2 linked regions of the Neodiprion lecontei genome follow. The protein of the gene in region 2 interacts with the protein of the main gene of each other region in a pairwise test. Links are inferred from orthologs where the notes say so. Each region holds a gene or a part of one and is shown on either strand. Other genes may lie near its edges.

The links. The genes of interacting proteins can lie anywhere in the genome.
Region 1: the proteins of segment polarity protein dishevelled homolog DVL-3 (region 2) and tyrosine-protein kinase Abl interact in binary tests that used the Drosophila melanogaster proteins (3 or more experiments, as listed by UniProt). The link is inferred for Neodiprion lecontei from reciprocal best matches to the Drosophila melanogaster genes dsh and Abl.

The regions. Positions count from the first base shown.
Region 1 is NC_060261.1:5,820,965-5,828,532, reverse strand, and holds the start of tyrosine-protein kinase Abl, read right to left. Parts: upstream 5,039-7,568; 5' UTR 4,445-5,038; coding exon 4,318-4,444; intron 2,982-4,317; coding exon 2,828-2,981; intron 2,579-2,827; coding exon 2,469-2,578; intron 2,281-2,468; coding exon 1,982-2,280; intron 1,898-1,981; coding exon 1,756-1,897; intron 1,614-1,755; coding exon 1,483-1,613; intron 1,390-1,482; coding exon 1,127-1,389; intron 1,035-1,126; coding exon 863-1,034; intron 723-862; coding exon 467-722; intron 287-466; coding exon 152-286; intron 26-151; coding exon 1-25. Other genes in the region: BTB/POZ domain-containing protein 10, read left to right, coding at 6,128-6,246, 7,162-7,287. UniProt on the Drosophila melanogaster protein: Arm and Abl proteins function cooperatively at adherens junctions in both the CNS and epidermis; critical for embryonic epithelial morphogenesis regulating cell shape changes and cell migration.
Region 2 is NC_060262.1:8,145,965-8,153,868, reverse strand, and holds the start of segment polarity protein dishevelled homolog DVL-3, read left to right. Parts: upstream 1-3,917; 5' UTR 3,918-4,310; coding exon 4,311-4,471; intron 4,472-5,246; coding exon 5,247-5,316; intron 5,317-5,518; coding exon 5,519-5,771; intron 5,772-5,861; coding exon 5,862-6,044; intron 6,045-6,168; coding exon 6,169-6,379; intron 6,380-7,114; coding exon 7,115-7,243; intron 7,244-7,331; coding exon 7,332-7,546; intron 7,547-7,904. Other genes in the region: peroxisomal targeting signal 1 receptor, read right to left, coding at 1-251, 410-860, 1,201-1,548.

The DNA of each region.
Region 1 (7,568 bases), on a different chromosome or scaffold from region 2:
CTTAGTTTGTTGACCGACGCATTATCTGAAACCAGGTAAAGACTTCAGACCAAGAAATACGCTTGTATGACTCTGATTTTGTAAAATAAGAAACAAAACTTACAAGCCAGTTGTCAATGGAGTATGTCTGGCGGGTGAATTTCAAACTCACCTTGAATCAAACTTGAGGAAGATAATTGATCTGTGACAAGAACCAGTCCATGAATGTTTCCGGTACTTCCAGTCTGAGATTTTTTGTAGGAAAGTAATGGGATTTCACCGCCTCCTTGCAGCTGCTTCTCTACCTCTAAACAGCATCATGAAATAATATTATTACTTTCTTTAATTTTACCATACGTAAAACGATATTTAGTTGACAATGACTCATGTTAAAATTCAATTACTAATACAAGATGCGCAAAGTGATCGAATGTTATCGTTTCTACACAAGAAACTGAAATATGATTTCATGTTTTACAGTTATTACCCTCTGTAATGCTTGATTCTTGAAACATATTTTCCAGAGAATGATGTATCTCCTTAAAAGATGGACGTTCTGAAGCAGACCATTTCCAGCACTGCCTCATCAATTCGTACACTTTCGGTGGGCAGCCGGGTGGACATTCCATGCGATAGCCTTTTTCCAGCATGTGGTAAACATCGGTTAAATCGACACCTGGATATGGAGACATTCCATAGGTTGCTATTTCCCACAGTAATATTCCAAAAGCCCACACGTCTGACTGCGCATGGAAAAAAATACACAAAAATTTTCATAAAATTCACTCAAATATACAAACTACCGACCGTATGATTTATACATATTTTTTATTCAATGGTCAAACAAAAATACACATCAACAAAAATCTGAATAATTACGTACTTTTGTTGAAAATTTGTTGTAAGCTAATCCTTCTGGAGCAGTCCATTTAATCGGGAATTTCGCACCTGCATGGGCTGTATAAGTGTCGTCTCTCATAAGTCGAGCTAAACCGAAGTCTGCAACTTTCACTAGATGATTTTCTCCAACTAAGCAGTTACGTGCAGCTAAATCCCTAGTTGACCAAATTCAACCATGTGTATAAAATGCTAAGATTTATTAAGGGCTTGAAGATTGTATTGAGGGTAAGGCCATGAGGTTTTTTACCTGTGAATGAAGTTCCTACTTTCCAAGTAGCTCATACCGCTGGCTATCTGTGTAGCCATGTGCATTAGGGCAACAGCATTGATTTGGTGTTTACTCTCGTTTCGTAAATAGTCGAGAAGGTTTCCCTTGCTCATAAATTCAGTAATTATATAAAATGGGGGCTCTCGCGTACAGACGCCTATCAACTGTACCAAGTTTCGATGTTTCATCTCTTTCATTATCGCCGCTTCTTCCAAAAAGTCTTTCAATGCCATTGTGTCCTCCTGGAGAATGGCAAAAGTGTGTTTTACGTTATGGAAATATTACAAAATTTTACTAAAAGTAACAACGCAGTGATAAAGCACTTTGCATCTCACCTTCAGCGTTTTCACTGCGACTGTCATGTTATATCTTTTCCATAATGCCTCGTATACATCGCCATATTGGCCCCCGCCTAATTTATGCTTCATTACTATGTCTGTCCGATTAATTTCCCACTCGTCTGGTTCTAAAATTTTTACAAATAGCAATTAGAGTTTGTCATAGTACGAATCCAAATGTTTATAGATTACGCTCACACATAACCAATGACTTGGATAACTTTGTTAGTAATAATTGAAGATACTTTAACCCGTTCCTTCGTATCTTACCTGGACTTAGTGGGAAAACGGTAGGTTTGTTGCGCTTGGGGGCTGGATAAAGTAGCTGAGTAATCAGACCATCGGCCAGCATGGAATGATGATGAACTAACTCAGCTAACGTATTGAATTTACTCTCCGTTGTAACAAACATCTAGAACAGTAGTTTGTTTGAAATTTGAATTTACCATAAGATGATGTCTACGAGATATGTTATTATACTAGAGTCATTACCGACCTTTCCTTCACTGTCTTCATTTATTCTGTAATGATAAACGCGCCCTTCATATCGTAATGAAATACTTCGTTGCCCAGGACTGCTCTCTGATTCTCTAACTAAGAAACTTCCGTTTATACCCGAACTGAGCAGATACTCTGCAGCATTTCTTGATATTCGCCCATGGTACCACGAATGTTTTTCCAGCGAATTCACGGGGGTTACGTAATTTGAAGGAACCCAGCCAACTTGGCCTGTACTGGAGTGGGCTTCGCACCATTCTCCACTCTTGTTGTAACTTGATATACGAACTTGTTCCCCTATATAAATATATTTCCAATAGTAACTTCAGAATACATTTTTTTTTTTTCATTTTGAAACTACAATTTGAAATTAAATTAAATCTCCTCAAGTCAAGAGTATAATGTATGCAGTGACGAGATTATAGTACCCAAGTGAAGAAATAATTGATACTGTAGATGGAATGGAAAAAAATCCCAGAAATTACCTTTTTTAAGGCTAAGTTGATTTTCACCACCAGCTTGGAAGTCATATAACGCTACAAATAATTGCGGATCATCTTCTTCTTGAGCCAGAAGATTTTCTTTGCTTGTCCATCTACAATCAAGGGTAAGTAAACAGTTTCTCATATTATGTTCATCGAAGCACATATGGCAACTCGTCATTTTTTAGGGCTGGGTGATGATTGTTTTAAATTTGAAAATTATTTGAAAATATGTTCTATTCAAATGAAATTAAGCCCATGAATTGAAATATCCAAATTTTGGTTAATATAATATTTCCTCATATTATGTTCTATTGCATTGGGAACAATATAATGAAATTATAATTTGCAATATATTTTACCGATTAGCAGCTTCCAGAAGTCCTGTAGTAGTGACGCTACTATGCTGCTGCAGGCTGGACTGTTGGGAAAGTGATTGAGAACTTGAACTGCTAGGTGGATCTCCTTCAGGTAAGGCTGGTATATGAGGTAGAGGTCTACTCTGTAGTAATGCCTCTGAAAATGTATGATCATCAGTCACATCTTGCCTCAAGACAAGCAACGTTAGATCTAGAATATCGGTATGAGTAATTGAATAACAGAAGTCAAATGAATTTAACCGCCTTTTTTTCAATGCAAGTATACATAGACTCAAACGATAAATGAATGATATCATTAATTACATATTTTCAGTTATAAAACAAAGAAAATGCATTTTGTAAAGGATATTGATGCTATATTGCAAGTTTGTAATTTGTGAATATTCCCGTTTCTCTAACTTTCCAATGGTTTGAAAAGATCTGAACTTTGTTCGATTTTGTTTGTTTTCCAACAGTCTTATAATAAACTGATCATTCTAACAAGGACATATTATAGTTCGGCACAATTTGTTCCTGAATAAGAATTAAATACTGCTTCTCAAAAAATTTGTGCAGCTCAGAATTAAGGGCAAAATCTACTGTAATTTTGTTCCGATAAATTCAACTTTAAAAGAAATGATCTGCGACACGGACAAATGCAATTAAAGAATTCATTACTGATTATTCGGACCACATACATTAGAACTAGTTGCAGGAAATGAACAGCTACTGTTCACTGATAATAAAGAATATTCTATTTATAATCGTTGCATTGCAAATTTTATTAATCAGAATCAAAAAACTTTGATAAAGAAATATCGAACACAGAGTTAAAAATAACTGCAAAAGGAAGTCATATAACACGATTCACGCCGTTTCTCGTTTGTTTTGCTTCATGTTGTATTAAATATAGCTGTGTACGACAAACTAAATTCCATTGTAACAAATGAGTACATTTTTTTTTCCAAGTAATCGATTCCATTAATATAAAATTCTTATAAGTATAGAAGTTCGATTGAAAAATTTAATTCTGTGTAAATAAACCCGAATAAGGAAATTCGAAGGTGGACATAAATTAACACACTGTGTCGAGGAATGGAAGATAATATCGAAATTTGTACAATTACATTGGCTCTGAATTGACTATAATGAAATAATAGCAGTAAATCAGAGATGAATTCATTCTGTATCGATGTGATTTTATCTGCGAGGAACTTCATTGCGAGTCTCTATTCCATGTTTCATTTGGCAAACAAATGGATAAAATAATTGTATTCGAAATTGGACTTATGCAATGTGTGATATTAGTACATAACGTTGTGATGAGATGAAGGTTGTCAATGAAAACGGAAAAGGTAAGGAAAAAAGAAGGAAAGAGTAACAATGAGTGCGTGTAGGAAGTGCGATTGAATGAAATGAGAAGAAAAATGAAACTGTTAAAACAGGAAAAAGGGAGGGGTAGAGTCTTACAATGAAAATGGAGATCAGCTTACCGCTGTGTTCCGTAAAAATGTTCGATCCAATGAGCCTGGATTCCTTCGGGTTTCTGGGCTGTTTCCGAGTTTGTCGTACGGCAGACCCGGTGGGAATCACTCTATCCTTAGTCTGTTGAGCACCCATAGTTCCTCGTTTAACATACCCTTATATTCTGCCCCGGCTGAAAGTACGCCGAGGTCAACTGCTTCGCGCATCAACCTCCAGGAGCACTTGATACATTTACATTATACGGGAGTTTGTGAATAGTTTAAACAAGAACTGAACCGCGAACTGCTTCCTCCCCGTGCTCGCTCACATTTTTACATGTCAATTAGATATCACAGACCGTTCGCCATGTTTGACAGCTTTGACGTCGATTATTTAGTTTGTCAGTGCATTAATGCGGGGCAGCACGGTGACGAAGTGGAGGTGGTGCAGCCAGGGAGTAAAATGTGCAACTGCTTCGATATGTTGTTATGAATGAGATAGAACTCGGATTAATCAAAACCAGGGTTGAAGCAGTCGACTTTGCATATACGATAAGCGGTATCGATTCTCTACACGGGATCAAACACGCTGACAAAATATTGAACAGCAAATCTCGCATTACTGGCAACAATAAAAATTACTTTCATTTTAATACAGATATAATCACGATACGATGTGCAGTAGTAGTACGAGAAAAGACTGCCATCCCAGTCGCCAGTTTTTTATTTCATCCGAGCATTCGACCCTCTCCAGATGGGGCGACAAAGCGACTGAGGAGCCAAAAGCGAGCCGGTCGACGTACCAAGTTCGACCAATGAGGAGTCGACAAATTTTAACGCTATCGATTGATGCGTTGAGGGTTTAATGACCGAAATCGTAATCGATTTTACACTCCGAAGAATTGTTATTACTCCAATCACGGTTTACCGTCGAAATAAATCGACGACGTATGTACGCATCTATGTATGTTACATACCTAGAATTTATTCCTTCTAATTCAGAAAATGCTAAGAGTACACTACATAACTACATCGGTATCTTTGCCCAGCTTCGAGAATTCCCCGCGTCTGCGCGCCTGTCTGATTTAAGTCCTTTCAGCCCTTAGAGTATGTCATACTACTGGTTAGCGTACACAGAAAGTGCAGCAAAGGAGTGAGAGAGAGAGGTGTATGTTGGTTATAACCTGTCTCTCTCATTACTCGGGCTGCAACTATCGCGAGGTCGATGGAATAGGTAGCTCCCTCCAGTAGTATATGCTCCAAGTTTCAGCCAAAGGGATTTCTCCTGACCAACCATTGAACCCCGTCCGGTATAGACCGTGAAATAGTCCTTAGTTGCTAACGGGGAGTTCTTTGACAGTTCCAAATCAAATGTTAATACCATGTTGTCTTTTTGAGCCAGTAGACTGTCGTTAAAATAATCATTGGCACGTCAATACGGGCCAAAAGAGTGCCGTAAGTTCGATTTAAGTGATTCATATGACACGAGAATACAGTTTATTTATTAGGAGTGACAGACGGAGTTAGGAAAAACAAAAAAAGAAAAAATATTGTCAATTTGATATTAATTATCATTCTACCTGTGCGTTCTGTTCGTAATGAGAAAAGTATAATAAAAGAAAGAAAAACCAAAAAAAAAAAAAAACACTAACTTAGTCACGGCTAGTAATTGTTTCTGCATCTCCTTCCGAACATATGTACCTTTGTCTGCCGAAGTTTCGGGATCCGTAGAACAGACAAGAATAAAGTTATTGCAGAAAAAACCATAACAAATGGCCTAGTCTATCAGGTAATTGAGAAATATCAGACAACCTTTAAGGGTATTAACCGTTGGTTTGGAATGCGATTTACTGTAAAAAAAACTAGACAGGTTAGGTTTTACTTTTGCAGCGTTCAAATTTGCTCCTCATTAAAGTGGCTATTGGAGAAAATAGAGTGGTATTTACCATTTTATCATTCGTAAGTACATTATACACACAACAACCAGACCTCTAGTATTTCTCAGTAACTAAACTTCATAGTCCCAACAATGCTAGCTGTACTCTATTCAAGGGATTCCAACAAAAATCGTTGGATCTATGTTCTTGTCAACATATTTTCCTTATTTCTCCCCACGAGATTTCCAACCGTTGTGAATAAAAGAAATTAGGATTACGAAGAAAGAAAGATAAAAAATAGGGAGTGGCACGTTTTACTGTTATTATAGGTTGTTACTCGTACGATTCGTCATCTCACTTATCAATAATACGACTGCGTCGTACAAGCAAGGCATGCTTCTCTGTTGTCGAGTGAAGTGTTGTATAACATTTCATTACCTTTGTGATGATCCTGTGATCTATTAATATAAAGTCTTGAATATACGTATGCAAGTACGATGATACGTGATTACTTTTGGCAAATGAACTTACTTCAATTTATTTTGAGACTCGAGACACGCCACAGCTTCTGTATTCTCTTATTATTACCGCAGTCAAGTTTGACTTGAAAGCATAACGTTGTCCAAACTTTTCATGCATCGTTTATAATTGTTCATCAAACATTGAAATTTCTAAAAGAAGAATATTTTTACAAAGTGTTCAAGGCAACTAAATAAACGCGGAGTAGTTTACTTGTTATTTCATTGCTAAGTTGACAAGGTCACCTTGGAATCCTGTTTCTTCATATCTCTTTCTCAATGGATAAAACATCAATTTCACTGTAAGATTTTTCTATACTGTAAATTTTTCATCCCGCTCGGAAATCATGCAAATTCAGATTTGCCGTCTTCATTCAGATCACCTAGTCATGTAGCTCATTGTCGTAAAACTTTAAAGTATTTTACAGTCAGTGATTAATGAATATTTTTCTGGTTTTTTTCTTTCATCATTCTACTAGCTGGCCTGACATGTCAAATCCTGGAGATCGTTTAAGTTATGTGCAAGATAGTAGCAGCGATACAGAGACAGACTACAAGGAAACGGATAGCCGCGGTCGCCACCGCGTATACAAGAACAGATTTGGGTAGGTTGGATTCTGATACTAAAGATAAACGGTCTGAATAATGATACGACGTAGTAAACGTATCAAAATTTCCTAAGCTATAAATTGTTCTCTTAATATGATGTGAGGTCGTAAAGAGAATGTTCAAAGTAAATAAAAAATATTGTACACGTCGTTGAGTATTGATGTTATTATTACATAGAAGATAGTAGTTTAATTGTAGCTTTAGAATTCTCTGCATGTTCGTACGTTATTTGTTCAGAATGAATATAAATTATCTACTATAATAAATCTTTTTCTGA
Region 2 (7,904 bases):
AACCGCAGCTTCGAAACAAAGCACCGCACTGGGCAAATCACCGGCCTCAAGCCTTTTCTTACCCTCTTCCAACGCATTTGGTATTTCCTTCATTACATTTTCTTCAGTGAAGGTGTATTCCTGGAAAGGATCGTAGTACTTTTCGTATTCCGATAACCAAGGGTGTGAAGTGCTTACTTCATCAGAGGCTGATATTTTCTCCCACTCATCTTGCAACCTTGTCCAAAAATTCGATTTGTAATCATCTGCATCTATGGATACAAGAATATTATAAAAATGAATAACAAAGCAAGTTTCCCGAATTATAAAAGATATTCGTTCATTATTCGGAATATGAACGTCAGTTACACCCTGGCAATTCCGGAAATATCAGAGATGAATTACTTTTTGATGCAATTTAAATATGAACCTTGAGTTTCAGAGTTCTCTGTGGAAAATTCTTCAGCCCATGTCCCTGCAGCTGCTAGCTCTTCATCGATCTTGCTCAAAACTGGATGTTCGTCTTGAACATCTCCAGAGCGTTCGGAAGCACTAATATTCATGGAAGAAAATTCCTCTGTCCATTTATCATCCAACTTCTCTAGATTTGGCAGCGAAGTCTGACCAGGATCAATGGGAATCTCGCCTTCTTGTCGCATGAATTTCATGAACTTTGAATAAGCAAAATTTGGGTCATCATTATCCAAAGCTTCCGTTGATTTGACAACAAACCCATTCTGATTAACGTCCTTCTCTACATTATCCACACTATGTTCCAGGTATTCTTCAGCCCACTTGGGACCTAATCCTAATTCAAACGTTTCAGAGTGTGGGATGATAGCTTCAGCGGGTGTATTCCATATAGCATCAGCATGCTGTTCCTATAACAAAACTCAATTAAAACTCTGTAAACATCTTCCAAGCATTTAGAAGTTTTGAGTCAGTGCTTAGCATAAAATGCCAATGCTTGTATTTACTAATTCAGTTTATCATTTCAGTTTTCCATTTTTGATTTATGCAAAATATACGGAATCCTGTTTGGATTTGACGTACTTAAAATAATTTGATGCATTCTAGCAATTTAAGAAATCTCTAAAAATGATTCATTTTATGTTAGGAGCAATACCATTGTTTTTTGACCATCTGTAAATTTTCAAAGTATTTGAAATAAAAAGTGAAACAAACGCTACTATCAAACAGTTTTGAATATTACGTAATTACATCAAAATGACGACCAGATTCGAGATACTGGTTAGCCCACGCTGTGTCTTGGCCAGTTAATTCCTTAATCACACCAGGGGCAGGAACAGGCGCATGAATATTGTGATCAATCTGTCGCATTTCCTGCAGTAAACTGTCCATTCTAAATGTTTGAGGATGAGTGACTGTTTCCTCTAAAAACTGCTTAACCAAGTGGTCAGAATCAGACGCCTCGAAAGAAGTGGATGGCATAAATGGCCGGCCAATGCCTTCCTCGACAAATCCATGGTCCTGAACATAATGCGAGGCGAGACGAGCAACCGAACTCGGCCCTCCGCAGTCTCCCTCGACCAAATCGCGCAGTGCCATTACTGGATTCTAAAAGAACGCAAAGATGTTTTGACATGTTTGATTAACTGATACGCTATCTGCAACTCGTATTCAATTATGTAAAACAAGTGTACAAAAAGTGAAGCAAGAAAAAAAAAATAATGACCTTGCCAAAATAGTTGTGATAACTCTATATTCATGTTGTCTTTTTGAATGAATTGAAAGTCAAGTCAAGTTTCTACTGCTTGATAAATAAAAAAAAAATGTAATGAAACCTGAAAACTACAGGATTAGGTGAAGTTAATTAATGGATCTAAGGAAAAGAAAGTGTGTACAGCCTTTCCTAGTGTCACGTTGTTTACACGATGAGCAAAAATGAAAAAGTAATACAATAAAGCAAGGTGAGGATATACGAAGTCAAAGCTCAGAAAAAGTGCAAGGAGAGAATAAAGAGACACTATATTCTAACGGACTTACGAAATATACTCGACTTAGAACGAAGGCTGAATTATCTCCGATAGCTGCAATAACAAAAGACGGAGGTTATCTCAGGCAGCAAGAGTTTCCCATCCATGCAGCAAGTGCCAATTGTGTTATTTGTGGTTTGTCTACATCGTTCGAAAACACTCGCTTCCACCGCACGTCCGTCGAGTACCGATCGAGGGGGCCCCTGATTGTGCCTCGACCCTGTTTTCGTGAAATCAAACCGTGTAATAGATATCACTGCGTCATATCAGAGCCAACGAGGATATCCAGGGAATATATTCTAATGATTACCGACTCTCCGATGACGGCTCGAATCCCTGCCAAAATGACAGTGTGGTTCATGAAGACTATACAAGGAGCACGAAGTTAAATACTTGAATTGACAAAACTTGTCACAGTAATCATACATATTACGTTAATTTTTTGTACCGCTAGCGTCGCTAGTGTTCCTTTAGCAGCGAAGTGTCATTGGTTGCAGGGATGCCCAAGATCGACTAATCGATGATCTTGCAATGGGATTCGTAGAAAGTTTTCACTGCCGCCTTATGCCTCCCCCCAAACTTAGTTTCAGTACTTATTGAACACTAGTGACCTCTCATTTTGGGAAGCAATTTGTATACATCAAGTTCGTGCTCCTTGTATAAGTCTCCATGGTGTGGTTGGTAATACTCGGCGATTTTCGAGACTACTTGGCACATGACGTACTTCCGCTTATGCGCAGCAAGGAGGTGCCCAGGCAAAGGGAATTTTATTTAAGTTATTGAGCAAGTTCGATCAGACGTCACTCAGTCACCAGAATACAGCGCGTGTATTAAAAATTTCTGGAGAGCGCAAAACCTATACAGATCTGAGGACCCAAAAGCCTGACCCAAGCATTGAGTAGTAATACCGTGTAGTAATGAAGAAGGCTAGCCCCTGAGCAATGTAAAACAACATTCCTTTCCTATTAGATAGATAAGTCATAGAAATTTCTGGAAATTACCACAAGTTGCGACAAGGATTTTGAGTTATAACTTTACTGTTATAACATATTACGCCAGCTTTCTTACAGTGCTACTTTAAATCACTCTTTAAATAAACTGGTATAGGAATGCGACCCCAGAACAAATTCAAATAATCTCTGAGCCTATTTTACTACCATGCAATTTGCCCATTTGGTTGGCGTACTTCGGATATCGCTAGTTTACGCCACAACCCTAAAGCATATAGAAGTAAGGAGGACTATCTTTGTGTATAGAAAGTGTCCATGAAATAGGGTGAAATTAAGATGGCGTTGTAGGAAAAGTTCCACATTCAACAGAAAGCACGAATCAGATTGAAGCCTTATTGCTTATTAGAATCATTCTGGTGACTTGTTGAGCCACTATTTGTCGCTTTATGGTGGACACTTTTTCAGTTGATAACCCACGTGAGATAGCTACTTCTTACCTCTTCGCGCCATATACTCGAGGTAGCTTCGCGTATACAGAAAGGTAGCGGAGGAGTGAGAGAGAAAGGTATATGTCGAGTATAATCTGTCTTAAATAATCATCTAATTGAATGCGAGAGACAGAGTGCCCCTAATACTTCTCTCTCTCTCTCTCTCTCTCTCTCTCTCTCTCTCTCTTTCTCTCTCATCACATCGGCTGCAGTTTTCGCAAGGTGACAGGTTGGGCAGCCACCTCCCGTAGTATGTGCTCTAAGGCCACAACTGAATTGAACTAAACATTCGAAATCTCGATGATAATCGACCTAGCGCTGCCATGAAGTTGGCAATTTAACTTGCTAAGTCTAGCAGTATATTCTATATCGTGTTTGTGGCCCATGCCCATAAAATCCACGCTTTTTTATTACCGAGAGATTCTCAGGAAACCACGAGGCGAAGTTTGAAAGCCCTAGGTCAAAAGCAAGTTTTACATGCCTCTGATGCGTGTCAAAGCGTTCGAAATTTTTCACATTCTAACCATACGATATGTTCTCACAATCCATTTTTCGCACGAACCACACGATGCGAGTGTATTCGAAGCAGCTAATGAGAGAATTCGATTAAGGAGGAATGGAGACACCGCGATCCTCCCGATGCTTTTTCTGTTGATTATTACGATTTCGGTGAGATTGTTCGCCCCCGTCGCAGCCGTGTGCGCGACCGGATAAGATTTAACATTATTGGGAAGAGTAGGGTGCGCAATGACCGTCTGCTGCGCGAGGTAGCTGCGCGTTGAGATAATAATCTGGAACCCCAACGAGTGTCGACAGCGCCATGTTGGCTTAAGAGAAGAAGTGCACGGAGAGTAATCAACGTCCGTGAATGTTCTCCGTTTAACAATCTCCCAGCGATGGAGGAGACAAAAATAATATACCACATTGACGACGAGGAGACACCGTACCTAGTTAAGCTAACAATATCACCGGAGAGAGTGACTCTAGCCGACTTCAAGAATGTCTTGAATCGTCCGAGCTACAAGTATTTCTTCAAATCGATGGACGACGATTTCGGGTAAGTTTTGCACCACCCTACGCTCTCCTTATCATCCAGCAGCGGATCACTCGCCCTGCGCTTGTTTCCTTTCGCTCTTGCCCTTTCTCTCACCAAAGCCTCTACGCTACTCCATATTTCATCCCCAACATCCCTCGGGAACCAGGATACCCCGACTTTCAGGGTGCGAACCCACACTCTGCCCCTCTCGCCAGTCACCTTCCTCTATTCGTCGTCCCTGTCGCTCCGCCACCATCCGTCACTTTCCGCTGTCTCTCAGGATCGCCAAACACTATTTCACTTGTCCGTCGGATAGAAATAATCGACAAACTTTACTCGAGTATTTACAAATTCTGCTCTTCTTACCTCAAAACGCGAAATAGAATCTGATGTATAAAACGATTCATTTCTAACACTACTTGTCAACACGAAGCTTTTTCTTCATTCATTTTTTTTCCTGTTTTCTTTGTTTTTTTCCGTGCTTTCGCGTAGACAGTTCACATATACGCAATTCTTTCATTTATCGAACATTACAGAATTCTTGTTTTTAAAAAAAAACATGTTTTTCACTATTGGACTTGAGTTTTAAAACGTGTTTATTGCGCTTTTAGATATCTTGCTTCCATTTTGAAATATACAAGAAACACTTCTTTGTACGATACTTTGACTAATTCGCTCTTGTCCCAATAGTTGTTCTATCTTAGAAATACCAATGGAAATATCTGCCTTGCGTCTGTACTGATTCGTCTTGCATTAACCTCTTGAACTTTTACCTATAAATAATATGTTTTCACAGCGTTGTCAAAGAAGAAATAGTTGACGATGACGCACATTTACCATGTTTCAACGGAAGGGTTGTGTCTTGGGTAAGCACTCATACCCGTAAGCCTAATTAGTTGATTTCATTCGCTGCACATTGCCACAGTAAATAACAAATGGACAATTCATAGAAGCATAATGATGATGTTTTGAAATTATATAAAACTTCTTGATAGTAAAATATTAGTAAGTGTGCATAATTGATGTAGTTAAAATCACTGATGATCATTTTTTGAATATTGTCAACAGCTGGTTTCTGCTGAAGGCAGCAACGTATCAGATGGAGCATCGCAGTGCACAGATTCCGTAGCAAACAGTGAGGCAAAACATGATCGCCCTGACCATGTTACTCCAGGACACATGAACCGAGCACCTCCACTGCTCTCACACGATGACACATTGACAGAAACTGAGAGTATTATAAGCAGCAGGCAAGGCCATCATCTGCACAAAAGTTCGCGGCATCATTCGGACAAATATGAGAGACATAACAAATATAATGGTAATGTGGTTCCTTTGCTTGTCGATTCCAATAGCATAGGATTGATTGTAATTATCTACGACTTTACTGTTATTTTATGATATGATACAGGGTTACGCATAAACGGCCATTCCAAGCATCGTTCCGGACATGGATATGAAACCGCATCGATTTTAAGCTCCGACTTAGAGACAACTACTTTCCTGGAATCTGATGACGATGCGAGCAGCCGAATAACGTCTACGACTGGGCGACACACGAACACAAGCAGTGCCATAGATAGAGCAACCTTAGGTATGATGTTTGTGTATTTTGTTGTTTAGAGCTGAGCTGTATCGAGATTTCTTTTCAATATAAGATTCGTTGTAAACACAACTGGCTTCGAAAATCATTGATGCAATATTCATTTCACTTATAGACCGTCGCAGGACGCAGCGAAAACGTCGTCACAGATTACCACCAATGTCAAGAACGTCATCGTTCAGCAGCATCACTGACAGCACCATGTCTCTGAACATTATAACCGTATCACTCAATATGGACACTGTCAATTTTCTCGGCATTAGTATCGTTGGCCAAAGTAACAAAGGAGGTGACGGCGGCATCTATGTCGGCTCCATTATGAAGGGGTAAATATAAATATTTGTTACCACACATTCACGAGTTACTTCAGTGTCTGCCATTTTTATTGAAATCCATCTTTATCACATATCACTGGGATCAACACGTGGTTTTGCTTTTTTCCTACATCTGTAGATTATTTACACGTTATCACGTTTAGAGTAGCATCTTTACATGTTCAACGACTCAATTTTATAATACAGTTTATTTTCAAGTAATTTTTACAAACGAATAACTTAATGAAAAACGACACGTCAAATTCTGCCTAAGGTTTCGTTTTCACGAAATACGCGGTACCGAAAGGACTCTGTAATATTTATTTTTGTACAGAGCATCCAAAGTTTGATCATGGTGGCTACTGGTCAGGGGGCAACCTGGAAGGCTGGGAAAAGTCGGAATTTTTTTGATCAGGTTTTTTAGCGGTATGGAAAGACAAGGAATAAAACTTCTCTAGAGAAAAACAAAATGCGATAGATATTTGTTGTTTAAATGCTCCTTTCCACGACCACTGAGTGCACCATCAACGTTTTTTCAAATACCGATTATTTCAGAGATCTATTTATTAGATGCTCAAATTGGAAGTATTGGTTTGAATTTCAGTTAGGGAAAAATATTTATTTGGTAGGAAAATTTTTTTTACTATTTTCAAAGGCCACCATGTTGAAAAAACAAACTATAAATTTTTACTCTATTGAGTAAACTTGAATAGGTAACTATTTTGTTATTTTCTTATCGCAATATAGAGGAGCTGTAGCTTTGGATGGCCGAATAGAACCGGGAGACATGATACTTCAAGTGAACGATATCAATTTTGAAAACATGTCCAATGACGAGGCTGTCAGGGTGTTACGCGAAGTGGTTCAAAAACCTGGGTTTGTACAAAAACAAATAGCATCTTAGTAATAACCCAAGTATCTGCGAGAGCCGCCTCAATTTCTAAGTGCACAATTTTCGCTTCAGGCCAATAAAACTCGTGGTAGCAAAATGTTGGGATCCAAATCCCAAAGGGTACTTCACGATTCCACGAACGGAACCAGTGCGTCCCATAGATCCGGGAGCATGGGTTGCACACACAGCTGCTATCAGAGGTGAAGGTTTTCCACCTCGACCTCCTAGTGCCACAACTCTTACCTCAACCTCTAGTAGTCTTGCCAGCACAATTCCAGATACCGAACGTAAGTTAAAAATAACAAAAATCTACTCATGGTGTATTTGAATGGATCTGCCAGCTTGTCATGGATGTAATATCTTATCAGAAAATTTCCTTTGCTTTGTTCTTTTTATACTGATGTATAAATAAAACAATCATTTAGCATTTATAATTGTATTAGTTTCACGAAGAATATCTAAAAAATATTATGCGTAGTTGCAACAAAATCTTTTGAATACATCTATGTGTGTCTGTATTCACGTCTTACATATGACTAATATACTCTATATTATTACTTGTGATACCTGTCAATATTTTCATTTCATTTCTATCCCCAATAACCAAAGATTTATTATTTTTATTGTCACTTTTATCATCCATCA